5 linked regions of the Canis lupus familiaris genome follow. The protein of the gene in region 1 binds, or shares a complex with, the protein of each later gene. Links are inferred from orthologs where the notes say so. Each region holds a gene or a part of one and is shown in the gene's direction. Other genes may lie near its edges.

Region 1 (4,651 bases):
TCGGTGCTGAGCCCTGGGTGATGCATGGAATTGTTGAATCACTGTATCGTACACTTGAAAGTAATTTAACACTGTATGTTAACATGTTAATATGTTAACTATACTGGAATTAAAATTAAAAATATGTCACTAAATTGAGCATTCAAAAAAACCCTGGTGTATCAATATTATTGTGACAAATATATCGTATTCATGTAAGCCATCATAATACAGGAAACTTAAAAAAATACAGAAAAAAATCATACAGGAAACTAGGTATGGGGTATATGGGAATTTTTTTTATATGGGAATTTTGAACTGTGTTCCTAACTTTTCTGAAAATCTAAAATTATTCTACAATGTAAAACCTATTTTTAAAAAATCAACTAAATACATTTGTTCTGAAACTTTTTTTTAAAAAAAAGATTTTACTTATTTATGAGAGAGAAAAAGTGTTGGAGGAGGTGGAGGGGCAGAGCGAGAAGGAGAAAGAGTCTCAAGCCCACTCTGACTTCGCACTGAACCTGGAGCTCCAGCAGGGTTCCCTGTCACAACCTTGAGATCATGACCTGAGCCAAAACCAGGAGTTGGACCTTCAACTGACTGCCCCACCCAGGCGCCCCTGTTCTGATAACTTTTCATTAAAACTAATTGCTGGGCAGCCCTGGTGGTGCAGCGGTTTAGCGCCGCCTGCAGCCCAGGGTGTGATTCTGGAGACCCGGGATCGAGGCCCACATTGGGCTCCTTGCATGGAGCCTGCTTCTCCCTCTGCCTGTGTCTCTGCCTCTCTCTCTCTCTCTGTATCTCTCATGAATAAATAAATAAAATATTTAAAAAAATAAAAAAAATAAAACTAATTGCTACTTTCCTGGGGTACCTGGGTGGCTCAGTGGTTGAGCATCTGCCTTTGGCTCAGGTCATGATCCCAGGGTCTTGGGATCGAGTCTCACATCAGGAGCCTGCTTCTGTGTCTGCTTATGTCTCTGCCTCTCTCTGTGTGTCTCTCATGAATAAATAAATAAAATCTAAAAAAAAAAGAAAAAAGCTACTTTCCTTTAAAATTCTGAGTTGAGGAACACCTGGGTGGCTGAGTGATTAAGCATCTGCTTTTGGCTCAGATCGTGATCCTGGAGTCTTGGGATTGAGTCTCACATCAGGCTCCCTGCATGGAGCCTGCTTCTCCCTCTGCCTATGTCTTTGCCTCTCTCTCTCTCTCTCTCTGTCTCTCATGAATAAATAAAATCTAAAAAAAAAAAAAAAAAAAAAATTCTGAGTTGAGTGACCTTTATCAGGTTCACAGAATCAGCCCCTGTTCTTCCAATTCTTCTATTGGCTTTTCTGTGAAGCAAAACTGAGCAGGAGGTTTGCTTAGGCAGGAAGGACTACCACTCCCAGAGGGCCCCTGTGCGGTTGTCAGAGCAACCAAAGAATGCAGACTAACAGCCCTGCTGGTGTCAGGATTACCCAAGGACTGAGTGCCAACCAGCCATGGGCCAGGATTATTACTCCGTGCTCCAGATCACTCGAAATTCAGAGGATGCCGAGATCAAGAAGGCGTAAGTTGGGGTTGGAGTGAGGCTTTCGGGGTGTGTGGAGAAAGCCCCACCTTTATCTCTTCCAAACTGAGCTTTCTTGCACAGCTTAAGGCAGGCAAGGTAAACCTTGTTTTTTCTTGCATATTTATAGCCTGGGTTTGGACTAGGTCAGAGTTCTCAATCCATCATCCTTTATCCCCTCTACTCTGTCTCCCCTCCTGGATATGCTGGTTTTCCTAGGAATAAAAATCGAACAAAGGAGACATTTGAACTTTATCCTGATTATGGAGAACCAAAGGAACAGGAAAGTGACCTGGCCAGATGGATGTGTTTCAGATTTTATTCTGGCAATTATAATGAGTTTTTGATGTTGAACTGCATTTCTCAATACTTTCATCAGGTCATGGGGACTTTGTGGTCCATTTCCAAGAAAGTCAAGGACAGGAGTCAGCACATTTTTATGAAAAAAATGTGGTTTGGGGGGGCACCTGGATGGCTCAGTTGGTTAAGCATCTGACTTGATTTCGACTTGGGTCATGATCTCGGGGTTGTGAGATTGATCCCTGCTTTGGGCTCCACATTGAGACTGCTTGGGATTCTCACTTTCCCTCGGTTCCTTCCCACTACCTCTGCACCATCCCCCCACCCTCCCACCCCCACTCCCTGTGCTTGCTCTCACGTGTGCTCTCTCTCTCTCTCTCAAAAAAAAAAAAAAGTTTTTTGATGAATATTTATTGAGTGCCTACCCTATGGTTAGGTGCAGTGGTAGCAGCTGGAGATATAATCATGAATCAGATACGCAGCTTAATTTTGGTGGTGAATACAGATGTTGAATAAGTCATAAGTGTGATGAGTGTTACAGAAAGGGAAGAACAGAATGCTATGGAAACTTATTTTAGGAGACAGACTCTTTCAGAGTCTGTCATGATAACCAAGGCAGAAGATGAAGCTTGAAAAAGGATACTGGGCTGGAGAGAGGAGAGAGAATGGATTTAGCTATTAATTGGGTCATTGAAGGGTAAAGAAAAAGGGAGGAATCTGGGATAATATAGTTAATTAAGTTGGGTAGTGATACAGTTTTTGAATGTGCAGATACTGTTCTGAGAACCTTCCATCATTATTTCATTTAATCCTCACAACTCTGAGAAGTAGGTACTGTTATCCCAAGGCCATGTGCCTAGTAAATGGCAGAACCAGTATCCAGACACCATGCCTACTGTGAGTCAGGTCCTGTAGGGCATTTATGTGGGGTAAGGGGAGAGAATCTACAGTGTAGCTGGAGAAAAAAGACACAAACTCATGAGACAATTACAGAACAATTCAGGATATTGTGTGATGTCACCCACTGCTCAGAGCATCTCCTTGGCCAGTGGAAGCCATTTAGGGAGAGGTCACAGGAGTTGGAATGCAGAAATACATGCCCAGCTTAAACGCTGGAAACACCCAGGCCTGAATCTAGTTTCTCCTACCTGCTAGCTGTGTGACATGGACAAATTAACCACTCTGAGCCTCTGCTTTCCCATCTCTAAAATAATAATTATAAGGTTTGGGGCACCTGGTTGGTTCAGTGGGTTGGCTCAGGTCATGATCCCAGGGTCCTGGGATTGCTCCCTGTTTCCCCCTCTCCTGCCATCCCTTCTGCTTGTGCTGTCTTGCGCAATCTCTCTCTCTCCCTCAAATAAATAAATTCTTTAAGAAAAATAATAATTAATTATAAGGGTTGTTGTGGTATTGACATGGAATTTTAAAAAAATATTTTATTCATTTATTCATAGAGACACAGAGAGAGAGAGAGAGAGAGAGGCAGAGACACAGGCAGAGGGAGAAGCAGGCTCCATGCAGGGAGCCTGACGTGGGACTCGATCCCTGATCTCCAGGATCACGCCCTGGGCTGCAGGTGGCGCTAAACCGCTGCCCTTGACATGGAATTATATGAGATAAAGAACATGAAATGCCCAGCAATCATTTGTAGCAAAAAATCATGTCATATAAAGAGTGATTAAAAGAACCACATGTATTTCATACAATAGTTCTTAACCCTTCTCTCTCTCTCTTTTTTTTAAAGATTTTATTTATTTATTCATAAGAGACACAGGGAGAGAGAGAGGCAGAGACACAGGCAGAGGGAGAAGCAGGCCATGGGACTCGATCCCAGGTCTCCAGGATCACACCTGGGGCGAAGCGGCGCTAAACGGCTGAGCCACCCAGACTGCCCCATTTTCCCCCTTCTCTCTTATAACAACTTTAAGAGATGAGTCCCATACGAGAGCACCTAGATTTTGATGCCCCACCTCAAATGCTGAATGTATAAAATAAAGAAAAGCACTGTGATGATTCCTAATTGCCCAGCTATTTACCTTCTCAGTATCTCTCATTCGGTCTAGGCTGCTGCATCCAAGCTGTGACTCCACTCCATCTTGCCCACTCAGGGAAACAGAGTGGTGGCACTGCAGGGCAAATATTACAACCACTCAAATTTATATGAAAATGGAACTCTTCTCAAACCTACTTACTTTTACTTGTTCTCTCCATAACTGATTTTGACCTTTGTAACTGAGAAGGGCTGGTTTCAAAGCCTCAAGGAGGTCATGACAATTGTCTTGAAGTCAATGAAGGTATACAAAGTATATTAGAGAATGAAAATGTGTTTGGTTTTGGGCTCGTTGAGTTTGTGGGGCCTGTGGGATATTGGAGAGGAGATACCAAGATGGCAGCTGGATACAGAAGTCTGGAGCTCAGTGTCCTAGTTTCAGAGATTTGGGAGTGGTCAGCGAGTGAGTGGTACTCAAAGCCTTGGGATAGATGAGCCTGTGCACAGACGGTATGTGGAGTGAGAAGAAAAGGAGCAGAAGGGGTCACTAGCATAGAAGGCGTGAGCAGGGCAGAGGAGCTGCACTCTGACCCAGCAGAGGGTACACAGGGTCAGATTTGTACTAAGCTGTTCAGGGGCCTGCACTGATGCCCTCCTTTGGCTCCTCCAGACCCATTCCCTACCTTTCTGTAACCCTGCTTTCTGCACTGGAAGCTGGGCCATCTGAACTGCATTGATAGATGCCCTGGCCTTCAGACTTCCTAATGCATTCCCCTAAAGACAGCCCAAGGCAGGTGGTTGGGAGGGAGGAGAGTAGGACTGGGAT
Region 2 (4,681 bases), on another chromosome or scaffold:
CCAGGGATCCCTTCAAGAGATTTTTTTAAAACTATGTTGGGATTATTACTATATTTCAGAACAGTTCTTAGGACATACTTAACATTCAGTAAATACACTTGAGTAAATGAATGGATGGATCAGAATCAAAATAATGTGTATGTGGTAAAAACAAAACCATGTGCCATTCTCCAGAGGTAACCACAGTCAGTAGTTTAGTGTTTGCTCCCAGAATGTGCAACAGGTAAATGTATATTCACAGACTCTGCTCTGTTAGGTGCTTTTTTTCACTTCATATTTCGTGAACATCTTTTTATGTCAATACCTAAGTAGCTATCTTATTTTAAAATTCTGGCTGAATTATTTTCTGTTGTGTGGCTAAGATTATGATTTAAAATGTTCTGAAAGAATTAGTTTACCAATTTTATTATGTGCTTTACTAAACATTTTGGTCCATATTACTTTATATACTCAGGCTAGTATTTCTATAGGATAAATCTATAGATTGCTAAGTCATCAAAATACAGTGCCAAATGGCCCCCAGAATGTACTAATTAACACCTCTGTCATCATTGTAGGAGATTCCTTGTTTTTCCATTTTGCATCAACACTAAATAGTGACTTTTCAGTTTTTGCTAGTGTGCCGTTAATTTGGAAATGTGTCCCCTGGTGGGGGAGTAATGGATGGGGGTGATACCTCTAGGGCAGGAGGAAGGGTTTGTCATTGACGACTCCTGGAAATAGCCGGGTCTAGGTCTCCATCTTTCTGGCTAGAAGTGAGCAGGGGAAGGCAGGTGGGTAGCCACAGCTCTGATTCACACCTTGTATGCTGCCCTGGTCAGGATTCACCAGAACCGAGTAGCTCTCCTATCCTTTGACCCAAAGTTCATGTATCCGAAGACAGTTTATGTCCTTCTAGACCCAATCAGCCTCAATCATTGTCTTGAGCTGAAAATCGCCCCGTCTAAACTCTTGAAGTGGCTCTTAAATCGGAAGGCCTGGGCAGTGAGAACAGCGCGAGTGAAGGTCTGAAGGCCTGGACGGCTTGGACAGGGTGTTAGACGGTGGCTTGGCGCGGACCGGATGGCAGACGGGGGCTCGGTTTGCACGCGGTGCAGATGGTTTGGACGTGGGGCAGGCGGGCATCGTGCAGCCTGAGCGAGACCCGGGAGGACGGCGAGGGGCAGGTTCCTTCGCGCGGGGGCGCTCGTGCTCCCTGCGCCGACCGGCCCCGCGGCCGTGACGCCTTCCTTCCGAGGACGACCGAGCCCCCTAGTCCTTAAGCCTCACGTAGCCAGAGCAAGGGAAAGGGTGTGTGTGTGGGGGGGGGGGGGGGGGCTTGTGAATTCTCCCTTCACATCGCAATGGGAAATCGATCAAATGATCTAAGTGAAACGTTCAGCGAAAGGCAAAAAAAGGCCAGAGCCAGACTGCGCAAGCGCAGTGCCTGCCCCGAGCCGAGCCGAGCCGAGCCGAGCCGAGCCGAGCCGAGCCGAGCCGAGCCGAGCCGAGCCGAGCCGAGCCGAGCCGAGGGGCGGGGCCCGCGGGCGTCCCGGTTGCCTGGATACTCCGCGAAACAATCGCTGCCGCGGGCGCTTTCGGGCGGTCGCGGGGAGGGGCAGTTGGTCCTCACTTTCCGCGGAGCCCCAGGAGCCCGAGGAGGAGCGGGTGAGGCCCCCGGCCGGCCGCCCGGACCTCGCGAAGCCGGCCTCCTGGCCGCCCCCGGTCCCCCCGCCGGGCTCCAAATCCGGGGGAGGCAGGGCAGCCCGAGGCCCACGGGTTCGCCCTCCTCCACGCAGCCCATCTTGATTCTTCCCAGCCTGGTCCGGTCCGCGGAGAGCGATGCCGCTGCCCGACACCATGTTCTGCGCGCAGCAGATCCAGATTCCGCCGGAGCTGCCGGACATCCTGAAGCAGTTCACCAAGGCTGCGATCCGCACCCAGCCCGCCGATGTGCTGCAGTGGTCCGCGGGGTAAGCGCCTCGGTGGCCGCCGGCCGGTCTGCGAGCCGGGTCGTGCCCCTGGCCCTCCCGCCTGCAGCCCCGGTGCGACGCGCGGGTGGTGTCTGCACCTGAGGACCTGTCTAGGAACCATCCCGGTTGATTGAGTTTCCCAGCAGTCGCTGCCAAATGCTCCCTTTCCTGCAAAGGCATGACAGCTCCACTGTTGGAGACTGGTACTTGCTCAGACCGAAACTTAAAAAGCGATTGCATTCGGTAAAAAGTTTCTGCATTGTGTGATAAAATCAAACTACTCCACTCCCTTTATTTTATTTGTGAAATGGTTTTTTACAAGGTTTCTTGTAAGGCTAAGCTGCTCATTCTGGAGAATCCTCCCACCCTGTTGAGTTTTTTTTTTTTTTTTTTTAAGATTTTTCAAAAATTCATTTATTCGGGGGCGGTGGGGAGGCGCGGAGACACAGGCAGAGGGAGAAGCAAGCTCATGCAGGGAGCCCGACGTGGGACTCCAGGATCATGCCCTGGGCTGCAGGCGGCGCTAAGTTTCTTAGATCAAAGCCCCCGAGGTCATGTTGGGGTAATTATCCCAATGCTGCAATAAGGTTAAACTTTGCTCAACTTAGTTCCCAGAAGGCAAATAAGCCTTCACCCTTTCTTGCAGCATTGTAGCTATTTTCAGGAATGGTCATAGTTTCAAAGTTACAAAGTTAACAGGCCTTAGAACCTTTAAAGTAAACCCATTAGGTTTCGAAAGGAAAGCTCTTTGCCTCTCTTCAGTAGACAGACTTAGAAACTCAATTTTATGATTACAAGAACCAGTATAAAATTAAATGTTTTGGGGCACCTGAGTAGTTCGGTAATTAAGCGTGTTCTTTTGGCAGGTCATGATCTCAGGGGCCTGGGATCCAGCCCCAGGTGGTGCTGCTTGTTCAGCAGAATCTGCTTCTCCCTTTGTCTCTGCTCCTCCCCCTGTTCATGCGCGCTCTCTCTCTCTCTCTCTCTCTCAAATAAGTAAAATCTTTTTTAAAAATTAAATGTTTTAGTAACTAGCATGTCAGATTTCACTGACCTCTAAATGGTATAAATAACCAAGGTGAGTTAGTTTCCTTTGGCCACTATAACAAATAACCACAGATTTTGATGGATTAAACAACAGGCATGTATTGTCTTATTGTTCTGGAGGCTGAAAGTCCAAAATCCGTTTCACCTAGCTAAAGTCAAATTGTCAGAGGCCCTACGGAGAATCGAATCGCTTGCTTGCTTGCCTTTTCCCGCTTTTGGAGCTGCATTCTTTGTGTTCTTTGGCTCATGGCCCCTTCCTCCATCTTTAAAGCTGATGCATTTAGGACCCATCAAGATAATTCAGGATAATTTTTCTACCTCAGAATCCTCTCTCACATCTATACAGTTCCTGTCACCATGCAAAATAAGATACACAGCTTCCAGGATTAGGGGCCCTTAGTGAACCCACCACAAGGCTACTTATTAATCCAGTGCTTCACCTTGTGACAGGCACTTCTGTCAGTTGCTTCTGCAAGATTCTCTCAAGGGTCTTGCCCAAAAAAATCATGGCCTCTGGTTTTAACCGTCATTCAAGCATCAATGAAAGGACGCACAAGCGTCCTTTGTACTTGTACTTAACAGAACATTTGTTCTGTACAATAACATTTATTATTTGTACTTAACAGAACATTCCGAGATTAAATCATTTTCTTTCTTGGGACTTTAAATTATTTTAATTTAAGCTTCACTTTAATTTAAAAGGCATAATTGAGAACTTTCTGGATGTTCCATGCAACTAATTTTCTCTCAACAATTTTGGAGCTTAGGAGGAAAAGCAGGCGTCATTCACTAAGTGGTGCGTGTGAAATGGGCTTGTATGAATCCCAGCTGTCGCAGCATCTGTTGGGGTGAGAGGTTGCTCAGAAGAGGGCGAATTGCTCTTTGAGGTTAAGACAAGGCTAGGGCATTCCGGGGAGAGGAACAGCATACGAACAAAGGAGAGGTGACAAGAAGAAAAACAAAAAAGCTAAAAACAAAGCAGAGAACCAGGAATCACAGGTGGGTACCTGCTGGGGAAGATGCACAAGCAAGGCTTTCAGGTGCACAGGTCCATCAGCCTGGCCCCCAGCTTGATGCGGCCACTAGGGGACCGTCTGTGTTCTGTCACCAGTGCCCCACGCAGGGTGCCCCTCTCAGGGTGCCCCGCGCAGGGTGCCCCGCACAGGGTGACGGGGGGGGGGGGGTGTGTGTGTGTGTGAGAATTGGTCCAGTGCTAGAGGCTGCTTTCTGCTCGCATGTGCCTCCAGGGACTAGCACCGGGAGGCTTGACCCTCTTGCAGACTCTCAGCCTTGGCCCTGTTGAGCCCATGACAGGATAATGGCTGGGGAGTGTGGGGGTATGCGGGTGTCTGGGCAGTAGGACCCTGAGCAGCATCCTGACCTATACCCGCTAGAGGCCAGTAGCACCACCCACCCCCTCTTGTGACAACCACAGAGGTCTCCAGATTTTGCCCCCGGGGCAGTGGGTGGGAGGACTGTTGGGAACCACTGCTCTAGAGGGTGTGGAGCTGGGTGATGGGTTCGGTCGGTGAGGAGGAGGAGGAATAAAGTCCCGGAGTAGGTGAAAACCCTAGTGAGGAACAATATGGCAAAACTGAGCCCCCGTGCCTCCCCCCTCCCCCAGCCCCTCCATCACCTTAGATCTTCCTGTCCGCCTTTGCTCCCACATTGCCGCCCTTGTT
Region 3 (4,189 bases), on another chromosome or scaffold:
TTGGAGATGGCGGTGTGCAAGGCGTGGCTGTCAGGATGGCAGACTGCTGAGGGTTGTCAGAGCCCAGGATATGCTGGCGGCAGGGGAGAGGTCTGGGGTGAGCCTGAGAAGAAATTGGGGCCAGGGGATCCCTGGGTGGCTCAGCGGTTTAGCACCTGCCTTTGGCCTAGGGTGTGATCCTGGAGTCCTGGGATCGAGTCCCACGTCGGGCTCCTGGCATGAGCCTGCCTCTCCCTCTGCCTGTGTCTCTGCCTCTCTCTCTCTGTGTGTCTATCATGAATAAATAAATAAAGTCTTAAAAGAAAAAAAAGAAATTGGGGCCAAAGTGTGAGGAGCTTCATATGCTATTCCTCGAAGGTTGAATTTTTTTGTTTACTTTTTTGTCCTTGGAGATTCATGGACTTTTGGGGTTTTTTGTTTGTTTGTTTTTATTTTTGAGGTAGAGTATTATGATATTATGGGTATTATGATTTTCTAAAACTACCCTCGTGGCTTGGGAGGAACATCTGGGTCACAAAGATTATGACTCTGGAATCAAGAGTTGGGTACGAATCCCATGTTCACCACGTTGACCTACGCCCCTTACGCCTGGGCTTCCTCACCCGCACAGTGGGCTGATGACACTGATTTTTGGCCCCTGTTGTGAGGATTGAGTGAGACATGCCCTGCTTGGCACATGGCCGTCTCACAGTCATGACGGTACCCTTTTTTCTGACTTTTTTTTTCATCTTTTTTTGTTTAGTTCCTTTATCATTTATTTCTGCTCTAACCTTTGTTACTTTCTTCCCTTTGCTGGTTGGGGGTTATGTTTGTTGTTCATTTCTGAATCTCAACCTTGAGATCCTACAGGATTTTGAAAGTGCTTCTTAGTAGTGGTAATTGTTGTGACATCGGTGGAGTCCTTTTGGAAATTGTTAGGTGTTTCACCAAGCCAGCTTGCTAGTGTCATCCTTGGTGGGAGGTGCCCATGACAGGATGCAGTGCTCCGTTGGCCTCACTGGACTCTGCTTTTAGTGTGACTTACTGAACATTTCCTGCATTAATGCAAAAACATTTACCTTTTTGAAATCAGGGGGGAGAAATGGAGTCGACATATCTGCAAAAGCACCTTGGGACATGTCTAACTCAAGGTCTTGCAGAAGTGGCAAGAATTCGCCCAGTGGATCCAATAGAATATTTAGCATTGTGGATTTATAAATATAAGGAAAATGTGACCATGGAGCAACTGGTAAGTAGGGATCTTCTTTTAGAAAATTAGAAGAATAAGATAACTGGTCCAGTTTGTCTACTTTTTTAATAAAAAGTTCAATGTTATTTCTGTTATAAAAATAGTAAGTATGTTTATTATAGAAGAAACTTGGACAATATGAAAAAAAAAACAGAAAGAATAAAAAATACCCCAGAGAAGATTTCTTTTTAGATTTTTAGGTATTTTCTTCTAGTCTTTTTTCTGTACATTTCCTATGCACTTGTAGATTTTGTTTTTTACATAATTATGATCATACCCAATGTATAATTGTAATTTTATGCTCTTTGTTCAAATAAAACACATATCTCCCCAAATTATTGCACCTTTTCTAAATGGTTGAATAAAATTTGCTTCCCCTTTTCCCTGTCATTGGTGATTAACACTCTTTCAAGATTGTTTTTACAAATTATTCTGCCTCAAATTAGTCATGTGGTAATTGCTTTTAAAACCCTGCTAGAGACAGAAGGAAATGGCTAACTTGGAGCGGGAAAGAGAACTAGCTGAGATTGAGCAGGAGATGATGGAGAGGCTCAAAGCCGAAGAACTCCTGTTTCAGCAGGTGAGACATGCATGGGAGTTTGGGGGACACTGGAGTGAGCTTTGTCAGCCTCAGTGTGGTGCAACCCAAATACTGAAAACCTCCCCATCTCTAATTAGTTAGCAGTGGCTCTCTTCTATCTTCGTGTTCCTGTGTTTCTGTATCTGTGTCTTCTTTGCCGGAGAAGCAGCAGCAGTGGAGTGGGAGGAAAACCCAGGGAGTGTGCTCTCATGAAGGTCAAGGGGAGAGACCCAAGGGGTCAGCCATGCCTACTGTTGGTTGAGTGAGAGCAAGACTGCAAAGTGCTCATTCAAGACCATGGTGTGTGGGGGGTGGGATGTAACAGGGAAGATGGTGAGTTTAGGTGATGCTTTCAAGGGGATTTTTCAGAGAAGGAGGTTGGGTTTTTTTAAGAGCAGAGGGGCAGGAGGGGGTTGATGTTAAGAGGGAGAGGATGGTCTAGGTACATGTGGGTGTATAGGTTTTATGGCACGAAGTTTAAAACAGTTTCTTCATGACTCTTTCTTCTTTATGAAGTAGGGATGATGATCATCTTCCAAGAATGAGGCGATAAAATGGCAGGTGCGGGGAGAGTGGTGATGGTTTTGAAATAGTAGCTTTGTAGAATGGTAGCATTGACTGGGAAACTTAGCATTACCTGGTAGCATTGAGTACCCTGTCAGAGTTAGAAACCAGGCATATATTTTCTTAAAGATTATTTATTTATTTACTCATGAGACACGCAGAGAGAGGCAGAGACACAGGCAGAGGGAGAAGCAGGATCCCTGCAGGGGAGCCCGATGTGGGACTTGATCCCAGGACCCCGGGATCATGCCCTGAGTCAAAGGCAGACGCTCAACTGCTGAGCACCCCAGGCGCCCCGAGACCAGGCATTTATAATGTTGCCAGCTAGTTTGGTTTTATGATCCTGTAATTTTTCTTCACTTAGGCCTGAAGGCCTGAGTGATGATGTGCAAGGGGCAGCGCCTGTGACTGACGTGGGTTTAGGGTAGCACGTTGGGGAGCTGAAGGTGCTGGGAAGAGAATGGTTTCAGGGATGAGTCATGGATTGTAAACTAGACAGGGAAGGTTCCAGAGTGGCTTTTGGACTAATTTAATTTATGGACAGCTTCTGAACTAGATCTAAGTTATTCCTATTGTTCTGCCACACGGTCCTTAACTCCAGGGTCTCGACTCCAGTCTAGAAGCCTGTTGTTTGGGTGTGTGAATAGAAAGGAAACTATAGACGTGGCGAATAGCTTCTCTGCCTAACCTGTCACCTCTGCTACTGGGATAGAACATTCTAGGCACCCGAGACAGATAAGGCTATTGAAAACTTCACTGCTCCTGAATCTTCATTTTTCAATCGTTTGGTTTATTCTTATTTTTTTTTAATCTTTTTTTATTTTTTTTAATTTATGATAGAGAGAGAGAGAGAGAGAGAGAGAGAGAGAGAGGCAGAGACATAGGCAGAGGGAGAAGCAGGCTCCATGCACCGGGAGCCGGACGTGGGATTCGATCCTGGGTCTCCAGGATCGCGCCCTGGGCCAAAGGCAGGCGCCAAACCGCTGCGCCACCCAGGAATCCCTGGTTTATTCTTATGTGGAAGTTGCAGAGCGTGGAGCCAGATATCAAACAATCATCCAAATGGGCAAACATTCTGCTGCAGAATTGCCCCAACTTTGAGTGAGAATCTGCTCTTCCTCTTTCAGCTTCTACAACTAGTATCTGTCCCCTGTCTCTCAGACTGAGGAGAACATCTTCCTCAAGACAATTCCATCACAAATGTGGGGGTACTTAACTTTCTTTGGCTCTTCTACTTACCTTACTTAGCGAAAATTTGGCAATCCTAGAAATCAAGCACTTCTCTAGCTGTATCCTATTGATGGGTGTGAAGGGATCCACTGTACACTGAACCCTGAGCATTGTGTTGGGATTGGAAGATAACAAGAACGTTCTGCAGAAGATTTTATGACCGTTAAAGAAACAGCTTGGTGGCCAGAAATAGACGGGAGAAGGAAAGGGAGCCTGTGCAGAGAAGGTCTACAGGAGAAGAGCTTAAGAGAGAGTGAGGCCGAGATGCACAGAAACAGAGAGACGCTCTGAAGTCACCGTTGAGTCAAGTGAGCCTGAGTGTCAAGACTCCGGTCACCTCCATGTTGTTCTCATAGTCAGTGCCACTGGGTTGAAATTCCTTGAAATTTTTGGCACTCTCCAGTAAGCCCTGGGCCCTGTGAACAGGAAAGTGCATTGGCTGCCATTTTCAACCTAAGAGCTCACTTAGGAGGTAAAACCTTTTTATTTGTTTGTTTGATCGATTGATCAATTTGAATATCTTTCTAATGGTTTTACTCCTATGTGAAGAAAGGAATTGAGTTTTGAAGTTTTCTTGAAAACGTTAA
Region 4 (4,736 bases), on another chromosome or scaffold:
CTTCTTCTTTCTTCTGGGCCAGTGAAAAACCACATCCTTTCCCTTTGGCTACATCAAACCACATGGACTCTTCCTTTCCCACTCCAGTAATATGGTATCATTTATTGGCACCGGCATTTCTAACCTTCTCGAGTGTTTTCATGTTTACTGTCTTACTCCACAGAACAATCCCAGGACTGAGGAAACAGGCGGGAAGTGGGGAGGGCAGGGAGATCCTGGCTGAGGAGGGTCAACTAAGTATAAGGCGGTTTCCCCCTATTGTCTCTTTTAACCTTCTAAGAATTCTTCTGGAAGTGGACATGTTTATCCCCATTTCACAAATGTGAAAATTAAACCTCAGTAAAATCATATAACCTGCTGAGGAACACATAGCTATTAAATGGTAGAGTGGGTTTTGAACCTGGTGTGTCTGACTTTACAGCCCCTACTAGTTCCATGATATCAAGTGAATAGATTTTTTTAAAAAACATTTTATTTATTTATTTGACACACAGAGAGAGAGCACAGCATGGGGAGCAGGCAGGCAGGGGAGATGGAGAGGCAGGGTCCCTGCTGTGGGCTCCATCCCAAGACCCCAAGATCACGACCTGAGCAGAAGACAGACGCTTAACCAACTGGGCCACCCAGGCGTCCCTCAAACAGATTTGTCTGTATTATCCAAGCTGGACAGGGCAGGAGATAACATGTCCTGATTTCCAGCCCACCACATCTTCCATTAGATCACTTTGCGTGTTTTATAATATCTGTAACACACAATTTAACAATCATATGATTTCTTACCTTGTTGCCTAATTGTTTTATTTATATTAGATTCCATAAGATTGGTACTGTCTTGGGGCAGCCCTGGTGGCTCAGCAGTTTAGCGCCGCCTTCAGCCCAGGGTGTGATCCTGGAGACCCCAGATCAAGTCCCACATCAGGCTCCCTGCGTGGAGCCTGCTTCTCCCTCTGCCTGTGTCTCTGCCTCTCTCTCTCTCTCTCTCTCTCTCTCTCTCTGTGTCTCTCATGAATAAATAAATAAAATATTTTTTAAAAAAGATTGGTACTGTCTTCCTTTCTCCCGGCAGGAATTGTGTCATAAATATTAACTGCCCTGAGCTTTAGTTTCCTCTTCTTTCAAGTATTTATCTCACAGGATTGATGTAAAAATTAAATCACTTGTGAAAGCATCTCATACAGTATCTGACACAAATGCTCTGGAAATATTTGTTGAATCTTAACTTTTTTCTCATCTCTTTCAACAAGTCACACAGACCTGAGTGCCTGGGCATGGCTCTATCAGGTCTTGTTGTCTATATAACAACGTTGGATGAAGAGTTTTTCATTGGGCACTTGTTGGATTTTCTCTCTTATTAGCACCCCCAAGAAGTTTGTATCAAACTAGTCCAAGTTATGAGGAAAAGTGAGAAGCAATCTACAACCCAACCCATTGTAGATTGGGTTTAGCAATCTACAATGTACTAGCATAGATTACGCTCGCACTCATACCCCTCAGTTGGTGTAGCTAAGCCTATTTTACAGATGAGAAAGTAGTCTTAGGTAAGCTGCTAGTGAACTGCAGATCTGCCAAGACTTCAACCCAGGTCTTAAGGTACATTGGCCTGGGCTCCTTCCACTCCACCAAGCCACCTTCCAAAGATCAACTGAGTGCAAGGCTGGGGTGGGAGTAGAAACCAGACCACGTACCTTGGGATTTCTTGCTCCTCTTCCCCCTTTAGCTTCAGAGCATATTTCTTTGGAATTCACAATACTTTTGTTTTGAGGATGTGCGGTCCCTTTAACGTCTGGAGTGACTTCGCATAGCCCCACCCATCTCCCCTCCCACTTCTCAGTTCCAAGCCCCACCCACTGCTTCCTGCTACCTGCCAATTAACGCTTGTAATCGGATTGGGAATTTGGCCTCTTTACCCGGCGACTAAAGGTCCGCTTGCTCTGGGGCGGATTTTCCGTTCAGTTTGTCGCGGGCCCCTCGAGGCCCTCCTCTCAGCGGTTGCCCCAAAGAAGTAGCCAAGTGTCCCGCCCCCTCGTTGCCATAACAGCAGTACACAACGCCTCCTTGAGCGTTTCCCCTCTTCCAAAACAACCTTTCCCAGTCAGAGCCAAGACCCTCTCCGGAACCTCACCTTTAGCGGAGCAGAGCCAGGGTCTGCGCCCCTCTGCGAAGGATTGGGTGGGAGGGTTGGAGACTGCGTCAGTCTGGTGCCCCAGAGGGGACAGGGAAATGGGGCTAGTTAGGGTGGGAAAGTAAAAAAGAAATGAATGGAGCATGAGTTAGGAATAGAAAGGAGGAGAGGGTTGTAGGAGGTTGGTAGGGGAACGTGGCTTAAGGAGGAGGTGGGAAGAACTGGGGAGGAGAAGGCCAAGAAGCAGGGAGGCGGAGCTACAATGAGACAGTTGGAGCCCCGCTGGAGGGCTGGAAAGGCCTGGAAAGGCGTACTGAAGGGACAGAAGTCCTTGGTGGGACATCAGAAGTGGAGGCTGGGAGTCAAAATGAGGTGTTCGCAGGGATAAGGAGAGAAACGCAGTTGGGAGGAGGTCAGGGATGATGGATGGGAAGGGTATCCCGTCAATGGAGGCAAGGGATCAGAGAGCCGAGGAGACAGACATTCTTTCTTGGGAGGGGCACTGAGCTTGATCTGTTACTCCAGAGTCGTCAGCAGAGAAGAAAGATGTCAGATGAAGACCTGGAAGATTTCGAGCCAGATCAGGATGATCTGGAAAAGGAAGATGATGAGAAGGAAACAGAGGAGTGGGAGGACTACAAGAAGGAGGGAGAGGAGTACTCAGAGGAAGTGAGAGCATGAAATCCTGGAATTGGTGGGGTCCTAAGGCTAAGGGATGGGGTTGGGCTGGAAGGGGATGCCTGATTCCACTTCCTCTTGCAGTGGATGCCCACGCCACTCACAGAGGACATGTTGAAGGAAGGGCTTTCTTTGCTCTGTAAGACAGGCAATGGACTGGCTCATGCTTATGTCAAGCTGGAGGTTAAAGAGAGGTGCGCTTATGGAGGACCAGGCTGCCGTCGTAGGGCCCAATCTCCTTTCTCACCCTCATTCCTGGGTGTTGCTGCTGGGAGTTTGGATCTCTCTTACTCTGGCCAGTGGAAGGGAAGGATAGAATTTGCTTTTCCAGAGCCCTGTGACTCCCCACATTAGAGCTAGCCTGGGGAATTCCTACTGGACTCCTTCAATTGTCCATCAGAATGTCAGTTCTCGGCTCTTTGCAGACATATGCCCCTGATCACTGTTAAGAACCCACCTATCTTCTCTCCTCCTCCCTCACCACTCCCATCAGTCACCCATTCTTCTCCATCTCCACATTGTCCTCTGCTTTAGCACCTCTGCTCCTTACTGGGTACTTAACCCTAACTCTGGCCTCCTTCATCTCTTAGGGACCTGACAGACATCTACTTGTTGCGTTCCTACATCCATCTGCGCTATGTGGATGTTTCTGAGAACCACCTGACAGACTTGTCGCCACTCAATTACCTTACCCACCTGCTCTGGCTCAAGGCTGATGGCAACAATCTGCGGAGTGCCCAGCTGAATGAACTGCCCTACCTGCAGGTTGCCAGTTTTGCCCATAACCAGATCACTGACACTGAGGGCATCTCTCACCCTCGTCTGGGCAGCCTGGATCTCAAAGGTAGGTCCTTAAGTTGGGCTACACAAGGTTCTCTCCTTCCTAGCTTGGGGCCAACAGAAGTGGGCAGTGTGGTCTTTGGCTGTGCCACACAGCAATTTCCATCCATCCATCCATTCATTCAGACAGTCCTTATGCTCCATTATGACATTTCTATGTGCTGGAGATGTAGCAGTGAACAAACAAAATCCCTAGTCTCATACAGCTTCCATTCTAGTCAGGGGGAGACAGACAACTATCAGTAAACGTAATAACTAAGTAAATCTATAGAGTATGTTAAGAGGAGATATGTGTGGTGGAAAATAGATTAGGATAAAGGGACTAGAGATAGGCACAGGTAGCAACTGCAAACAGGTTGGTTAGGACAAGGGTCATTGAAAAGCTGACATCTGAGCCAAGATTTGAGGGAGGAGGAGTGCCCCAGGGCCCCAGAGGTGTTAAGTCTGGAGCTGTCCCTCCTCATAGCCACCTCATATGGGAGGGAGAGGATGATGCAGAGGCTCCCAACATTCAGGCTCTGCTGCTGAACATTTGAAGCGGTCCTCTGAGTTCTTAACACTCTCCTGCTCCTTAGGGAACCGCATCCGCAGGGTGACAGGTCTGGACCCCCAGAAGCTGCTCAGCCTGCACACACTGGAGCTTCGGGGGAACCAGCTGGAGAGCACTCTGGGAATCAATCTTCCTAAGCTGAAGAACCTCTACCTGGTAGCTCGCTGGGTTAGAGGGTGGTTGGTGTAGGGAAAAGGGTGGTGTTCTGGGGGCCAGGATGCCTGGCTTCTAGTAGGCTCTACTAACACCATCATCATCACGATCATTTGGTTCATTTATCATTATCATTTATTGAGCACTCACTTGGTGCCAGATGCTGTGGGGATGCAAAATTAAAACAGACAAGATCCTTACTACCTAGCAGGGCTGCTAATGCATAATACATGAGAATAGAGACAATTTGTTTTGACACAGGTTGTAGCATAATTTGCCATAACCCAGGTACAGATATCAAGCCAAGGGAGCCACTGAAATGTTAAGTCTTTTTGACTTGTGAGCTTCTTCATTCTAGGATGGTGCTGAAGGCATTCCTCCTCAGTGGAGCAG
Region 5 (4,768 bases), on another chromosome or scaffold:
GGCTGTTGCTATTTTATTATCTGATGGGAATTGTTATCTTTACTGTGTTTTCATTAAGAGCTCGTTCTCCAAGAGATAATGTTAGGTCCCACATAAAGGTTTGATTTCCTGTGGTTTCTCTTGGCCATCTGTAGACCTATGGACTTAACTAGCCTGAAAAGGAATCTGTCTAAGGGACGGATTCGTACCATGGCTCAGTTCCAGCGAGACCTGATGCTGATGTTCCAAAATGCTGTGATGTACAATGACTCTGATCACCATGTGTACCATATGGCTGTGGAGATGCAGCGAGAAGTCTTGGAGCAGATTCAGGTACTGTATGTAGAGAGCTGTAAGAAAAAGGAGTACAGTCTCTGGAATCTGATTTTAGAAAGTCTATGAGAATAAGAGTAGTGTTAAAGTGACTTTATGTTCTCAGAATTTATGTTTAGACATGGTTAAGGGCCCATAGATAATGACATTGTACCTATTGCTTTGGAAAACCCTAAGCCTCTGTAGGACTAGCTTTCATAGATAATGAAGTAAAGTAGTATAGGAAGACAGGCAGCTGTAAAGAAGTCTCAAGGGAGCTGGGGATAGCTAAGTAATAGGAGCTCCTGCTTCCGGAGCCTCAAGTCAGAGAGCTAAACATGCGAACCAGAGGCTGGAATCACTATCCATTTTTTGGTTGCTACCTGTTGATATAGATTCATACTGTCCCGTCTACAATAATAAGACATTGTAGCCAGAAGATGACCTTTCAGGGTTTCTTTTCTGGGCAGGATCATACTTTGAAAGAAAAAAAGCATAGTCAAACCTTGCTGCAGAAAAAAGAAAACTGCATTCTAATCTCTATAGTTTTCCATAGATTCATAGCTTGCTATCTGCCTTGACTCTGTAGGTGCTGAGTATTTGGTTAGACAAAAGAAGAGACTTAAATAGCTTGGAATGAGAACCAGCCAACCCTGTAGATGATGGAAAACCTCTTAACCAAGAGCTGCTATCCTGACCTTTTCTGGAATTGAGACCTCTTATATGAGACTCAGAGAAGATCCCAATACTTGTTTACCAGTTTTTTGTTGTCTTTTCTAGTAAGAAAAATGCATTAAAGTCACAACCAAGGAGTCAAAGGTGCCTGTAGACAATTTAAAAAATGGGGAAAGCTGAGATTTGGGGTGATGCAGTAAATGTTGCTCACTTTTTCTGTTTCATAGGCTTGATTTAGATGTAATTAAACAACTCTTATAACTGCTCTATAAATAAATGTTATTTCACAAGTTGAAGATTGCTTTTTTTAATGATTACAGAATCAGGGAATAAATGGGACAGCATCTGGTAGAATGACTGTAAGGTATTTGACATGGGTTCTTACATAAAATGTCTGGAACGGGATGGTGTGGGATGAGGGGAGAGTGCTTATGATTTGTCTCATTATTTATAAGGTTGATGTAATTAAAGTGTCCTTGAAATGGCTATGAGGGTTAAATAAGATGAGGACAGGGATCCCTGGGTGGCGCATTGGTTTAGCGCCTGCCTTTGGCCCAGGGCACGATCCTGGAGACCCGGGATCAAATCCCACGTCGGGCTCCCGGTGCATGGAGCCTGCTTCTCCCTCTGCCTGTGTCTCTGCCTCTCTCTCTCTCTCCCTCTCTCTGTGTGTGTGTGTGTGTGTGTGTGTGTGTGTGTGTGTGTGTGTGTGTGTGACTATCATAAATAAAAAATAAAAATAAAAATAAAAAATAAATAAGATGAGGACAATGTTGGAAAACGTCTAGTACTCTAAGATTGGCAAGGGGGGAATAAAGAGACTTGTAGTGGCCCCTTCTCTTCATTATAAAGGAACCCAAAGTCTGTGACGCGCTGTGCTGGGATTGGCCCTCTGGAGCCACCGTCCCTGAACTTTGCTTTGGGTCTCTTAGCAACAGGCTGCGGTGGCCCAGCAGGAGTGGGCGGCAGGGTGAGTGCGTACGGAAGGGCTGCTCCCGTGGGGTCTGCGAGTGCACTTCAAATTGGCACTAGGACCTGGGAATGCTGCTTTCCAGTCAGGCCAGATCCAGTGCAAGACCTTCTGGGAGGGGCGGGAGAAGGGCGGGGGTGGGGGGGGGGCGGGGGCAGGGTAGACAGTTCACCAGCAGTTGCGAGAGTCTGCGCCGCACGCAGGCCTTCGGGTTGCCCCTGGCCTCTGTACCTCAACGAAAGTGTTTAGGAAAACCAAGGGCATGAATTAGACATAGAGTAGAAATTGTACTTTTTGTTTATTTATTTATGTAATCTCTACACCCATCCTGGGGCTCGAACCCCAATCCAGAGATGGAGGCACCTGCTCCCTGGACTGGGCCATCGAGGCGAGGCGCACCCCCCCCCCCCATTGTATTATTGAGACTGCTTATCGAAAAAGATTCGGCAGTTTCTAACTTTATAAGCTAATAAAATCAAGCGCCTAATAATGCTGTTTATAATCACAATTACATTAAATTTGGGGTGGGGGTGATGCATGTCATTGCAGTTGATACCTGTGGAGAATCTCCTAAATTGTACCCTGGAAAGGCAGAATGGAGCTATCAATGCCCCCACCTCAGATATATGTAGAAAAAACTTTGGCTATTATCAAACCAGATATTGCTGACAAAGAGGAGGAGATACAGGATATTATTCTCAGATCTGGATTCACCATTGTTCAGGTAACTTCTGGGCATGATGATGATGGTTTTTATTCTCTTTGCTCCTTAAAAAAAAAAAAAAGAAAAAGTTTAAATATGTTAACCTATTCAGTGCTTTAGTGCTTAGTACTAAACTTAGATTTATTTTAATTTTTCAGTATAAAAGTTATATGTGTTAGTTTTAAAGTTTTTTTCAGGGGGTACCTGGGTGGCTCAGTTGGTTAAGCATCTACCTTCTGCCCAGGTCTTGATCCTAGGGTCCCAGGATCTGCATAGGACTCCCCACTTCAGTGGGGAGCCTGTTTCTCCCTCTCCCTCTGCCACTCCCCCTGTTTGTACTCTCTATCAAATAAATAAAATCTTTAAAAAATTAAATAAATTCTTTCATTTTTCAAAAGGATATAAAGCGAGAATTAATTTTTTTAATTTTTATTTATTTATGATAGTCACACACACAGAGAGAGAGAGGCAGAGACATAGGCAGAGGGAGAAGCAGGCTCCATGCACTGGGAGCCCGACGTGGGATTCGATCCCGGGTCTCCAGGATCGCGCTGGGCCAAAGGCAGGTGCTAAACCGCTGCGCCACCCAGGGATCCCTAAAATGAGAATTAAAATTCCTTTTCCTCCTCTCCTCTCTCACCCAAGTCTCAATCTCCAGAAAAGGCAACTACTTAGTGCCTTCTGTCTTTGCAGGATATTTTTTTTCTTTGCAGGATTTTTGTAAGCATTTACAAACATTTCCCCCTATAAAATAGGACAGTCTTCTTCCCTTGACCCCTTTTACAAAGTTGCTCAGTTATTATATCTGAATCTCTCATTCTTCCTAACTTCTGTGTAATATTCCCCTGTGTGAATGAACCACAAGTTATTTACTTGTTCCTCAATTGATGGGCTTTTAGATTGTTGGAATTTTTTTCAATTATTTTTTTAAAGATTTTATTTATTAATTCATGAGAGACACAGACAGGGAGGCAGAGACATAGACAGAGAGAGAAGCAGGCTCCCTGTGTAAAGCCCGATGTGGGACTCGATCCCAGGACCCCGGGATCACAACCTGAGCCAAAGGCAGGTGCGCTCAATCCCTGAGCCATCCAGGCACCCGGAATTTTTTTTCAAAATGGGGGCAACTGGGTGGCTTAGTGGTTGAGCATCTACCTTTGACTCAGGTTGTGATCACAAGGTCCCAGGATCGAGTCCTGCATTGGGCACCCTACAGGGAGCCTGCTTCTCCCTCTGCTTGTGTCTCTGCCTCTCTCTGTCTCTCATGAATAAATCAATAAAATGGGATCCCTGGGTGGCGCAGTGGTTTAGCGTCTGCCTTTGGCCCAGGGCACGATCCTGGAGACCCGGGATCGAATCCCACATCGGGCTCCCGGTGCATGGAGCCTGCTTCTCCCTCTGCCTGTGTCTCTGCCTCTCTCTCTCTCTCTCTGTGACTATCATAAATAAATAAAAATAAATAAATAAATAAATAATAAATAAATAAATAAAATCTTAAAAAAAACAACAACAAACATTTAATGTTTCGGGACACCTGAGTGGCTCAGTCGGTTAAACATCTGCCTTTTGGTTAGGTTGTGATCTCCAGGTCTTGGGACCAAGTCCCTCATCCTGCTTCCTGCTCCCTGCTCAGCGAGGAGCCTGATTCTCCCTCTGCTCCTCCTCCTGCTCCTGTCTCTCTCTTTCTCCCCCTCTCAAATAAATAAAATCTTAAAAAAACAAAAACAAAAACAAAACCATTTAATGTTTTAAGCCTTATCCTGCATTGGTAAAAGTTTGAAAATGTATGTAAGAAGAGTGTTAAAGATGATCAAACAGGGATGCCTGGGTGGTTCAGTGGTTGAGCCTCTAATGTTGGCTCAGGTTGTGATCCCAAGGTCCTCGCAGGAGCCTGCTTCTCCCTCTGCCTACGTCTCTGCCTCTGTCTCTGTCTCTCTGTATCTCTCATAAAAAATAAAATCTTGGGGCGCCAGGGTGGCTCAGTGGTTGAGCGTCTACCTTTGGCTCAGGGCATGATCCCGGATTTCCAGGATTGAGTCCCGCATTGGGCTCCTTGCATGGAGCCTGCTTCTCCTCCCTCTACCTGTGTCTCTGCCTCTCTTTCTGTGTCTCTTTTGAATAAATAAATA

What was found.
Region 2: DNAJB13 (region 1) and ROPN1L share a complex: the UniProt entries of both Homo sapiens proteins name them as parts of the axonemal radial spoke complex. The link is inferred for Canis lupus familiaris from reciprocal best matches to the Homo sapiens genes DNAJB13 and ROPN1L.
Region 3: DNAJB13 (region 1) and DYDC1 share a complex: the UniProt entries of both Homo sapiens proteins name them as parts of the axonemal radial spoke complex. The link is inferred for Canis lupus familiaris from reciprocal best matches to the Homo sapiens genes DNAJB13 and DYDC1.
Region 4: DNAJB13 (region 1) and LRRC23 share a complex: the UniProt entries of both Homo sapiens proteins name them as parts of the axonemal radial spoke complex. The link is inferred for Canis lupus familiaris from reciprocal best matches to the Homo sapiens genes DNAJB13 and LRRC23.
Region 5: the proteins of DNAJB13 (region 1) and NME5 are in contact, whole or in part, in a cryo-EM structure (PDB 8WZB), measured with the Mus musculus proteins. The link is inferred for Canis lupus familiaris from reciprocal best matches to the Homo sapiens genes DNAJB13 and NME5. Residues at the interface, in NP_705755.2 of Mus musculus: Thr156, Lys157, Lys158, Thr181, Ile182, Asp183, Arg185, Trp188, Arg189, Gly191, Thr192, Arg193, Ile194, Thr195, Phe196, Glu197, Pro281; in NP_542368.2 of Mus musculus: Glu52, His53, Asn56, Met193, Lys199, Pro200, Lys201, Leu202, Cys203, His204, Phe205.

What each region holds. Positions count from the first base shown.
Region 1 is NC_049242.1:24,440,511-24,445,161, reverse strand, and holds the start of DNAJB13 (dnaJ homolog subfamily B member 13), read left to right. Parts: upstream 1-1,380; 5' UTR 1,381-1,467; coding exon 1,468-1,535; exon of another isoform or gene 1,536-1,634; intron 1,635-3,871; exon of another isoform or gene 3,872-4,651. UniProt on the Homo sapiens protein: Functions as part of axonemal radial spoke complexes that play an important part in the motility of sperm and cilia.
Region 2 is NC_049255.1:4,035,640-4,040,320, reverse strand, and holds the start of ROPN1L (ropporin-1-like protein), read left to right. Parts: upstream 1-1,487; 5' UTR 1,488-1,647; intron 1,648-1,798; 5' UTR 1,799-1,821; coding exon 1,822-1,952; intron 1,953-4,681. UniProt on the Homo sapiens protein: Functions as part of axonemal radial spoke complexes that play an important part in the motility of sperm and cilia. Important for male fertility.
Region 3 is NC_049225.1:30,227,523-30,231,711, reverse strand, and holds part of DYDC1 (DPY30 domain-containing protein 1), read left to right. Parts: intron 1-1,072; 5' UTR 1,073-1,081; coding exon 1,082-1,228; intron 1,229-1,706; coding exon 1,707-1,808; intron 1,809-4,189. UniProt on the Homo sapiens protein: Functions as part of axonemal radial spoke complexes that play an important part in the motility of sperm and cilia. Plays a crucial role during acrosome biogenesis.
Region 4 is NC_049248.1:7,958,287-7,963,022, forward strand, and holds the start of LRRC23 (leucine-rich repeat-containing protein 23), read left to right. Parts: upstream 1-1,783; 5' UTR 1,784-1,920; intron 1,921-1,930; exon of another isoform or gene 1,931-2,143; intron 2,144-2,647; 5' UTR 2,648-2,668; coding exon 2,669-2,791; intron 2,792-2,884; coding exon 2,885-2,994; intron 2,995-3,390; coding exon 3,391-3,644; intron 3,645-4,215; coding exon 4,216-4,346; intron 4,347-4,736. UniProt on the Homo sapiens protein: Essential for sperm motility and male fertility. Plays an important role in the proper assembly of the third radial spoke (RS3) head and the bridge structure between RS2 and RS3 in the sperm flagella.
Region 5 is NC_049232.1:25,836,822-25,841,589, reverse strand, and holds the start of NME5 (nucleoside diphosphate kinase homolog 5), read left to right. Parts: upstream 1-1,799; 5' UTR 1,800-1,936; intron 1,937-1,952; exon of another isoform or gene 1,953-2,020; intron 2,021-2,485; 5' UTR 2,486-2,531; coding exon 2,532-2,660; intron 2,661-4,768. Other genes in the region: BRD8 (bromodomain-containing protein 8), read left to right, coding at 135-312, 881-931. UniProt on the Homo sapiens protein: Functions as part of axonemal radial spoke complexes that play an important part in the motility of sperm and cilia. Does not seem to have nucleoside diphosphate kinase (NDPK) activity.